3 linked regions of the Cricetulus griseus genome follow. The protein of the gene in region 3 binds, or shares a complex with, the protein of the main gene of each other region. Links are inferred from orthologs where the notes say so. Each region holds a gene or a part of one and is shown on either strand. Other genes may lie near its edges.

Region 1 (3,274 bases), on a different chromosome or scaffold from region 3:
ATTTAGTGAGGCCTACTCTGTGTTTTAGAAACATCTAAAAGAATCAGAAATGGTCCCTGTTTTTTCCTTCTTTTTCTCCCCCCCCCCTTTTTTTGGTTTGTACAGGGTTTCTCTGGCCTTGAACTCAAAGTTTCTCCTGACTCTACCTTCCTAGGAGGGCTGGGGTTAAAGGTGTGTGCCACACAGTGCTTGGCTTCTTTTTCTTTTCTTTTCTTTTTTGTTTTGTTTTGGAGGGGGTTTTAAATTTATTTTTTACTTTCCAATTCCAGTTCCCCCTCCCTACTCTCCTCCTGTTCTCCCCTCCTTCCCCCATCCCACCTCTCATTCACTCCTCAGAGTAAGGCCTCTCCTAGGATGTCAACTAAGTCTGTCCCACACCTTGCTGAGGTAGGACCAAGGCAGCCCCCCTGCCCCGTGTCTAGGCTGAGCAAGGTATCTCTCCATAGAGAATGGACTCCACAAAGTCAGTTTGTGCATTATAGTTTGATCTTGGTCCCACTTTAGCTTCTTTTTCATTTTTAAACATGGGGGTCTTGCTACGTTACCCAGGCTGGCCCCAATCTCTACCCAGTTTCCCGGGTAGCTGAGATAGGCATTCACCACTATGCTGCTAGTCCTTGTTTTTTAAGCAATTCACAGACTGACTCCAGTGCCTTTTCCTGTCTATATCTTACACAAACGCCCTTTTGTCTCCGAGGCCCCAGTCACCCTTTCCATTCTTGTCTCTTTCTTCCTGAACTGAACACTACCTGGAGATGACAGTCCTTAACTGATGGTAAACATAAGATGTAGCAGGGCGGTGGTAGCCCACGCCTTTAACCCCAGCAGTCGGGAGGCAGAGGCAGGTAAGATCTCTGAGTTCGAGGCCACCCTGGTCTACAGAGCGAGTTTCAGGACAGCTAGGGCTATACAGCAAACGCCTGTCTGTCTTGAAAAACCAAAAAAGAAGAAAGAAAAGAAAAACTCAAGGCCGGCTGTGGCAGCACACGCCCATAACCCTAACACTCAAGAGGTCAGAGGCAGGAGGGGAGGACTACTACAAGCTTCAGGTGGTAGCCAGGTCTAAATAGTATTTCTGTGCCAGCCAGGGTACATAGCAAGACAAACAAAACACCCCCCCAAAAATAAACAACAACAAAATCAAACCAAAACAATGACAGCAACAAAAACAAAGGGACATGGTGGCTCCTGTCTATAATTCCAGCACCTAGGAAGCTGAGGCAAGAGGATTTCAGAGAATTCAAGGACATCCTGGGCTGCATAGCCAGGCTCTGTTTCACGCCTCCCACATATACACAAGGAGGGGAGGAAGAGGAAGGAAAGAGATGACTGGACACACACAGGGTCAGAGGGATTTTTCTCTTAGCACCTCTTTTCTGATGGACAATTCTTTGATTTTTTTTTTTTTTGTGGTTCTATCAATCAAACCCAAGGCCTCGCACATGTGTAATATGTACAGAGCCCAATAAAATGCCAATAGAGCTCAAAGTAGGAAATGTTCCTGGAGGCCCACAATATATATTGAGCTTAGAGTGGCATACTTAAGAATGATTTCATAAATGTTTGAAAGCCAGGAATATGCCATTCCATACAGAGTCTCAGAAGTCGGCGTCAGAGGACTGGCCTTTTTATTCAGTCTGGGAGACCCAGTACATCCCTAGCTCCTTACTGAGGGAAGCATCCACACAGCACTCCAACTCCACAGCACCTCATACTTAGGCACGAGCTCCTTCCCTGCTGATCTGACCCTTCTAACCTCTGGTGTGATATGGCTGACACAGAAGATATCTGCTCCTATAAAGAACGTTTTGCCCTTCCTCTCCAAATACAAGGCAGGATGAGGCCTAAAGCTGCTACTCCAATTTTTTGTTTGTTTGTTTGTTTGCTTTTTGTTTTTCGAGACAGGGTTTCTCTGTGTAGCCTTAAAGCCTATCCTGGCACTCGCTCTGGAGACCAGGCTGGCCTCGAACTCACAGAGATCCGCCTGCCTCTGCCACCCGAGTGTTGGGATTAAAGGCGTGTGCCACCAACGCCCGGCATGCAGCTCCAAAATTTTAGGTGACAGACACATCACAGAGCAAGGAATCCCTAGTGGCAACTAGGGATTCCTTGAAGGGTAGAGGCGGGACTGGGGAATTGCATCCGGCCAAGGCTGGCCACACTTGCTTGGCAGAACAGTCCTCGACAGTCATTGCTTTTAGGGCTCAGCCTGATGTTCTTACAGAGGAAGCCCAATTCCTTGCTAGCAATCAAAGCCCATGTTCCTGACTTAAGCCCTCGTGACTTCATCCACAGGAGTAACATGATTAGTGACCTGGGGGAGCTGGCCAAACTGCGGGACCTGCCCAAGCTGCGAGCCTTGGTGTTGTTGGACAACCCGTGCGCAGATGAGACCGACTACCGCCAGGAGGCCCTGGTGCAGATGACACACCTGGAGCGTCTGGACAAAGAGTTCTTTGAGGATGAGGACCGGGCTGAGGCGGAGGAGATCCGCCAGAGGCTGAAGGAGGAACAGGAACAGGAACTGGAGGGAGAGCATGACATGGAGCCATACTCGCCTCCAAGTTAGCCGCTCCTCCAGCCTACGCGGGCGGACGGACGGACGGACGGACGGACGGACGGACCGTTAGGGAGGGGGCGGGAAGGCAGCTAGCGGAGGCCAAAGGCTGAACGCACAGAAGAGGCCAGGAGAACCCTCAGCAGAGACCAGACTTGGGAGTTGGAGGTATCTTAGGTATAAAGGAAAGATAAGAGGCCAGGAAGAGCTGATAAAAAGATAAAAGAACCCAGAAAAGTGAGAATTGGAGTGGCAGACGGAAGGGCTGGTGTGCAGCCATATGCGGCAGGGAGATAGGTCTGGGGGCATGGGGGAGCCCAGGGGGAGGGGTGGCTGGTGGTGTCTAGAGGATGCAGCTGGGCCAGGGAAAGGATCCTGCACTAAAAATCTGAACCTAAAAATAACAGGACACTGGTGGGGAGGCGAAAGGAGGGCATGGTGAAGCAGAGACCGAGAAGCCTAGGGACGTGGGCATTTCGAGTGGGGCACCAGCTTCACTTCTGTCCTCTTCTTCCAGGAGACCATTAACCAAGACCTCATTGACCATTGCCTCAAGAATTGATGAGACTCCGGCGGGGGACCACCACGTTCATAGTCCTGTGCTAGGAATCCGGGCATGCTGCGTTTTGTTCCAGAACTGGAAATCCATCATATCCCAAGGCTCAGGCTCTTTGGTGGTCATCTTTTTGTGGCTTGTTCTATGGGCCTAAACTCCTA
Region 2 (3,653 bases), on a different chromosome or scaffold from region 3:
ACTTCTGTAACTCCAGTCCTGGGGGATCTGGCACCCTCTTTTGGCATCCACTGATACTACACATATATGGCAGTCAAAATACTCATACACATAACATAAAAGTAAAATTTTTAAAAATTGGTTAACACCTACACATTTGGTCTTCTTTGCATGAAGGAAAAGTATTCCGTGTATTATAAATATTATATATTTAATATATTTAGATAAATATATTAAGTTTAATATTCATTAAATATATTTAAAATATTATATATTGATAAAGTCATATACACCAGACTTTATCAACATGAAAACTTCTGCGACAACACATTTTGATACTCACATCAGATAACAATGGCTCTTCAAGCTCTTCCACTCTGCTCAAGTTAGGTGCTCCGTAGCGATCACTGATTTCAGCTAGGGTTTTGCCTGAGTCCATCATTGAGTCCTACAGTCATAAAAGTCAGTTTTTACTTTTGCATGTCTTCAAAATGAACCTGTTATTTTTCTGGCAATTTGATATAAAATTTCTGAATTAAGCACACAAAATCAACATTGTTAAGTAGTAGAATTCATCAATGGCTTTTAATGATACCAGAATTCTATCTAGTAAGAAGCACTAAAAATTATCTTTAAATGCATTTGGAATTTCAAAATGCACTTGTAAGTAATTCTATGTGCAATATAACAGGACATTGTATCTTCAAAATATACAAGTACATATTTCATGTTCAAATTTTATCCACTTTGAGGTTTATTTCAAAGCACCACACAGCTGTGACTTACCATTAGAATACTAATTTGGACTATCACTGTTATAGGGCTTTTGACTTTGCTTTTGTTTGTTAAAACAGGGTCTCACTATGTAGCTTTAGGTGTGCCAGGAATCACAACAACCAAGCCTCAGGCACTGTGATCCTGTGTGTGCCCTACCATATCCATCCTGGACCAGCACTTTTGACAATGTTCTTATTAAAACTTTAGCCACTGATATTTAAAACTTAGGTTTCTACTCTTAAACTGTACTCATTTCACATAACACACAGTAGCTATTCCTTCTCACCTCTTGCTGTAGGGACTCATCACCCTTAGCCCCACTTTCTGTGCTTCTCTCCTAAGAAAAAATTAAGAAAACACTGAATATTGTTTGTTTCTATTTCATGTTTAGATTTTAAGAATTTTTATTTTTATAAAGTGCTATGATCAGTTTAACAGCAAAATCCATGTCACTTTCCAAGGAGTAATCAGAGTAATCAGAATACAGGGCACACACACGCACACACACACACACACACACACACACACACACAAAAGGATCACAGTTTCATTTACTATATACTAATAAGAGATAATGGTTCATAATTAAATAAAATTCTTTCAAAAATGAGGCTGACCAGAGGTGAAGGTGTAAGACCCTCGAAAAGCTGATGCTTCCAGAATCTTAGCCCAGGACTGCGGCCACCCCAATCACAGAATGGAGGCGAAAGCTTGATGCAAATTGCATGAGGCTTTATTGTAGTTTAATGAGCTAACCCCATGTTAGCTCGGGCCTTTGACCCACCTACCATGGCGGATGGCTAGCAAAGACAGTTCGAAGCCGCTGCACAAAGATCTTTATAGGGCAGCATAAGGGGAGTGTCTAGGGGTATGCACAGGCTCAGGATTGGCGTGCCTCCAGGCTTGGAGGGTTTGCCCTGTGTTGATTGGTCAACTGGTTGTTATGGCCCATAGGCCCTCCCAGGGTGGTTGCTATGCTTTGTGTGTCATTGCTGTGCGCTTGTCCGTAAAGCACACCCAGGGTCGTAAAGCATAGTGCCACCAGCTAACTTCTGATTGGCTCCTTGTCACGAGGCAGGCATCTGACTTTCTAGTGACTAACTTCTGATTGTTTCCTTGTCACAAGGCAGGCATCTTACTTTCTAGTGACTAAGACAAGGTCATAGAGCACATGTTTGGTCATTATGGCTGCCAAAAGGGAAGCTGGTCCCTTCAAAGGGTAAATCTCAATTGCTGAAGGCATCATGATGCAGTTCAGACACAGAGCCCTGAGCTGAAACTGACCTGAGTACCTTTTTCCCTGGGGACAAGCTTTTGTGATACCAGAAGGTGCCATGAGAGCTTCAAAAGGAAAGAAGCAACCAACTGTCCTAGCCAGTTGTGATGTCCATGAACCACAAGCCCAGCATGGCACAATAACCTTAAGAGTGCAGTAGTAACACACATGCCTTACTGGTTTAACAAGAGTGGCATCCTGCTTGGTAACTGGAAACCTAGCTAACTACTCAGGTCAGGCAAGTTCACAGATCTTGAAGAAGAACTTAGAACCACTTTACTAAGCCAGCATAATCCCTAACAACACTCGAAACATTTGTCCTTCAACCCATAGACAAATGTAGTCTTCACACCACATTAAGGAAACTTCTCTTTGCAATAACAGACAGAGACCATTACAGAAAACCACATTAAATTAAATTTAAACCACATTAAAATAGCATTCAATTAAAATAAAACTGCATTCAAATTGCATTCAAATACAATTAAAATGCAGAGTTGTGGGGTCCAGTTCCAGTGTATACATCTACAAAACAAGTCATGCACCTAAGGCTCAGGGGACATGGAAGTGGGTGGAAAGATTGTAAGAACCAGAGAGTAGGGGGCTATAGCGGCAGAAGCTATATCCATAAAGTCTCCCAATATGGCTGCATACACATGAGCTGGCCAAGGACAATAATAGACATGTCAAAGTGGCCAGGGGAAAGCCCATGAGACTTCAACCCTGCATGAAAACTACAGGCACCCAAAGAATGCTAAGAGTGGGAGAAACTGTCTCCCCCAGGGAAAAGCACACTAATTGGTTGTCTGATGCCAAATGGTCAGCCCTGAAAACGTACACAAAAGTAGCATTATACAGACATGGCAGGTTTTGTTTTGGAATATATATGTGTGTGTGTGTGTGTGTGTGTGTGTGTGTGTGTGTGTGTGTAACAAAAATTAATGAAAAGGGTGCTATAAATTTGAAAGAGAGCAAGAAGAGGTATATTGGAGGGTTTAGTGGGAGGAAAGGAAATAGAGAAATGATATAATTACATTATGATCTCAAAAATAAAAAAGAAAATATATAAAACATACATTGTATGCAATTTTCTAAGACTGAATAAAAATATTAGGAATTTTAAAAATGGGCTGAATGAAATGTTATAATTGAAGCAAAAGTTCTAGCAACTATGTAAAGCAACAACATTAATGTCTTAGATTAAGAGATTTTTAAACAGAGGTTGAGTTTGGGCTTTATATACAGGAAAAAAATGAGTCCACATTCCTAAATGAATTCACCATGTCCAAGTTACTGTCCAATGCCCAAGTGTTCTCCAGAGGTCCTTAGCAACACTCATATGCTGCAGGGGAAATGTTCAGCCTGACATGAAAAGCCACTCTTCAATGAGAAGGTTCTTCTAACCAAGCCAACCTACTATGACCTCCATTTTTTCATCAGTAGGACGGTGCAAAAAAAGTCACATGACTCATACTGGGATGAGGCATTTTGGCAATTGGAAGATTACTCAGCTTGTGACTGTCCATATGGCCACACTAATAATTATAGGGATATAACATAGTATGAGGTACTGTTTTGCAAAGAGGACTTCATTTTTTATCTAGGGAGTTCTTTTATTTAC
Region 3 (3,753 bases):
TCATACGCAGCTTGTTCTGAAAAACGAAATAAAAAATAAATAAATAACCCTCCCCCTTTTTTTTTTAAAGACAAGGTCTTACTATTTAGCTTTGGATGTTCTGGAACTTGTGATAGTGAACATTATGTTTAGAGGACAAATTTACTTGTGCTAGGTTTGTGAAAACAAAATGTTTTTAACTTGTGTAATCTGTGAGGAAGTTACTACTATCTTGAATGTTCCCTGTCGGGACATGGATCACTTCCTGGTGCAGTTGGACTATTCTTAAAAAATTTCTGATTGTTACAAAATGCATCACTGCCCCAGCTATTCCTACAAGATAAATGGGTCACAAGATTAAACAGCTAACTGCTAAATTCTGCTTTTGTATGAAACACTTGCTTGGGTGCTGAGGCACCTGCTGGATGCCTGTTACAAAAATCAAGCCTTAGCCAGGCGGTGGTGGCACTCACCTTTAATCCCTGGGGAGTCTGAGACAGCAGATCTCTGAGTTGGAGGCCAGCCTGGTCTACAGAGCAAGTTCCAAGATAGCCAGGGCTACACAGAGAAACCCTGTCTTGAAAAGAAACAAAACAAAACAAAAAAAACCAAACCAAAATTAAACCTTGCCCATACCCAGACAAGATATGAGTTAATTTGACTCCCCCAAACTATAACATTGTGGGTTTTGCCTTTATAATCCTTTGACTGATAATAACCAGGACCTTACTTAGAGAACGCCCTAGTTTGTCCTGGCCAGGCTCTTTTTAATAAAAAGCCTCTAAAGTTTACTAATTTACTAAAACTAAAACTTGAGTCACACTGGTGAATGTCTGAACGACCTCTGACTCACAATGAATTCACAACGCAGATCAGGCTAGTCTTCAGCCCCCAGAGATCCAACTGCCTGTGCTGAGAGCAGGATTTAAAGGTGTTGCACCACTACACCCGGCTTTGTTCTGAAATTTTTAAATTCTCGGCAGTTGCTGTGCTAAAAAATAAACAAAAAAGTGTTCAGGGACTCCGGTTTCTGAGATGTGTGACCTTTATGGGGTCACAGAACCAGCTGTGAGCACCGCAGGGCCATTTGTTCAAGAAGGAAAGACTACAATTCCCAGAGTGCGCCTCGTGGTTGCCAGGGGCAACCATAGAACGCAGACTAACAGAGGCTGAAGTCTGAGGAAAAACTGATCTACTCCTACCAGCCATGGGGGTAGATTACTATGCTGTGCTCCAGGTCACTCGCAACTCAGAGGATGCCCAGATCAAGAAGGCGTAAGTGGGAGGGATCGGAGCCCGGTCCTGCTGAGGCAACCCTACCCTGATGCCAGCCAAACCGCTTCCCTGCGCAGTTTAGTGCAGGAAAGGGGCACCTCTGTCCTCTTGCCTACTTTTATCCTGGCTTTGGGCTGGTCAGGACACAGAATGGAAATTCAGACACACCCTTAGTGCACCAGTGGGCTCCCCGTACCCAGTCCTCATGCCTCTTAGCTCTACTTGGGTCATGTCCGAATTCCTAGCTATGAAATGAGAACAAAGGATCTTTCGGACCTTACCCTGAGTCTCAAGGAGATTACAGGACTGTGAACCAGAAATGACCTGACAAGTGGATGTTACAGTTTCCATTCTGGTGATCACACGGGTTTTTGTCCCTGACTGATACTCATCTCTGAATACCTCTCTCAAGTCTCAAGGACTTAGTGAAAGTCTAGATGCAGGTGTGATGCTAACTGCCTGTAATCCCCAAATGGTTTGTGGTCAGCCTGGCCAGCACAGGCTGAAGAGCAAGGTTCTGTTCTAAAAAGACAAGGGATAAGTGTGATGGGGGAACATCTAGGACAGAAGTCAGGCTGTATTTCTGAAAATTTTTGATCTTTAAACTTCTTTTCTTTGGAAAAAAAAAGTTTTGGGCAAGAATGCATTGAGCACTAACCTCTTGAGTTGTGCACAGAGCAGGTCTTTGTCACCGAGTATGTATCGTTATAAAGGATTACCTGGGGCTGTGTTGAGAGGCGAGCAGCTTCTTGAGAGGCTGTCCTGATAATTAAGCCAAAAGTCAAGGCCTGAAGGAGGATTAAGGCTCTGCAGTAGGCTGGAAAGGGAGAGGAGAGACTGAACTTGACAATTAATTGTATAATCAATAGTATAAAGAAAAAAGGAAGCATCTGAGGCAACTTGAGGTTTAGGGGTACACCAGATGCCTGTATTGAACATGGAGGTGCTTTTCTGAGAGTTTTTTTTTTTTTTTAATCATTGTTTTACTTAGTCCTCAAGTGACCCTGAGAGGTAAATGCCATTGTCATCCCAGGAGCTTGTATGCGACTAATGGAATCAGAGATCAGACACCATCCCTACCTCCCTGGGCCAGGTTCTTGTGTAGACTGAAGTGAAGTGTCCAGGGGAAAAAGAAGACAAACTCACTAAACAATTGAGAGCAATTCCGTACAGTGGATGAGTCACCCTCTGTTCTGGGCTTTCACTGGCCAGTGATTTATGAGTGGAAGGTTGCCATGAGAGAAATCAGGTTGCCAGTGGAACTCAGTAAGGGAAAGGTTACCATGGCAAACAGAGATAAACACAGCTTAGTTACTGGAACACCAACTGCACTGGCTAGTTTTATGTCAACTTAACACAAGCTAGAGTCATTTCAGAAGAGGGACTCTCAATTGAGAAAATGTCTCCACCGTATTGGCTGGTGGGTGAGGTGCATTTTCTTAATTGGTGATTGATATGGCCCATTATGGACTGGACCACTCCTGGGTGCTAGAAGAAAGCAGGTTGAGCAAGCTAAGAAGAGCAAGCCAGTAAGCAGCACTCCTCCAAGGGCTCTGCATCAGCTCCTGTGTCCAGGTTCCCTCCTTGAGTTTCTGTCCTGACCTCCTTTGATGATGGAAGATTTGATTTGACTGTGAAAATGTAAGATACAACAAACCCTTTCTTTCCCAAGCTGCTCTTAGTCATGGTGTTTCAGCACATCAAGAGAAACCCCGAGACACCAAGTACGACACACTCACTCAAGCTTTCCGTTCCTGATCTTCTAATCTCTTAAAAAAACAAAAGTGTGGAGGAGGAGACAGACCAAGGAGATAGGAGACGGCCCAGTTGGTAGAGTGTTTGCTGCTCATGCAGGAGGACCTGAGCAGGAAAAAAAAGCTGTGTTTCATTTGTACCCCTGGTTCTGGGGAGGCAGAGAAGGTGGTGAATTCCTGAGGCTGCCTGGACAGTCAGCCTAGCCTACTTGGAGAGTTCCAGGTCAGTGAGAGGCTGTATTAATAGCTGAGGTGGACAGAGGGACAAGAGGAGAGGTTGTCCTCTGGCCTCCACATGGGTGTGCCCACATGTGAACCTGCACAGACACACAAATAGGCAACACACACAGTTTTTAAAGGACAGGAGTTGTTTCAGGATTAAAATAGGATCAGATGCGATACTGTATATGAAAATACCCAGAAATCCCTGGCAGATGGAAGCATGAGGTAAGAGTAATGAAAAGAATTGTATGTTCCTGTTGACAGCCCATAACTCTTCCACTGTAGCAACTTTTAAGGCTTGAGCCTTGTGAATGCTACATTCTCTCATGGGGATGTCTTGAGACAGGCAGATCCCTGGTGCTTGAGGACCACCTGCTGTAGTAGAATTTGTGAGCCCCAGGACAGTGAGAGACTGTCTCAAAAAAAAAAAAAAAAAAAAAAAAAAAAGCAGAAAGCAGTTAAAGTTGACTTCTAGCCTCCATACACATGCATGCATGCACACACTCACAAAATACCGAGCCTG

What was found.
Region 1: Dnajb13 (region 3) and Lrrc23 share a complex: the UniProt entries of both Homo sapiens proteins name them as parts of the axonemal radial spoke complex. The link is inferred for Cricetulus griseus from reciprocal best matches to the Homo sapiens genes DNAJB13 and LRRC23.
Region 2: Dnajb13 (region 3) and Dydc1 share a complex: the UniProt entries of both Homo sapiens proteins name them as parts of the axonemal radial spoke complex. The link is inferred for Cricetulus griseus from reciprocal best matches to the Homo sapiens genes DNAJB13 and DYDC1.

Annotation. Positions count from the first base shown.
Region 1 is NC_048601.1:21,634,606-21,637,879, forward strand, and holds the end of Lrrc23 (leucine-rich repeat-containing protein 23), read left to right. Parts: intron 1-2,295; coding exon 2,296-2,569; 3' UTR 2,570-2,746; downstream 2,747-3,274. UniProt on the Homo sapiens protein: Essential for sperm motility and male fertility. Plays an important role in the proper assembly of the third radial spoke (RS3) head and the bridge structure between RS2 and RS3 in the sperm flagella.
Region 2 is NW_023276807.1:179,037,999-179,041,651, forward strand, and holds part of Dydc1 (DPY30 domain-containing protein 1), read right to left. Parts: intron 2,401-3,653; coding exon 2,383-2,400; intron 1,089-2,382; coding exon 1,043-1,088; intron 428-1,042; coding exon 323-427; intron 1-322. UniProt on the Homo sapiens protein: Functions as part of axonemal radial spoke complexes that play an important part in the motility of sperm and cilia. Plays a crucial role during acrosome biogenesis.
Region 3 is NC_048596.1:99,001,435-99,005,187, forward strand, and holds the start of Dnajb13 (dnaJ homolog subfamily B member 13), read left to right. Parts: upstream 1-854; 5' UTR 855-1,186; coding exon 1,187-1,254; intron 1,255-3,753. UniProt on the Homo sapiens protein: Functions as part of axonemal radial spoke complexes that play an important part in the motility of sperm and cilia.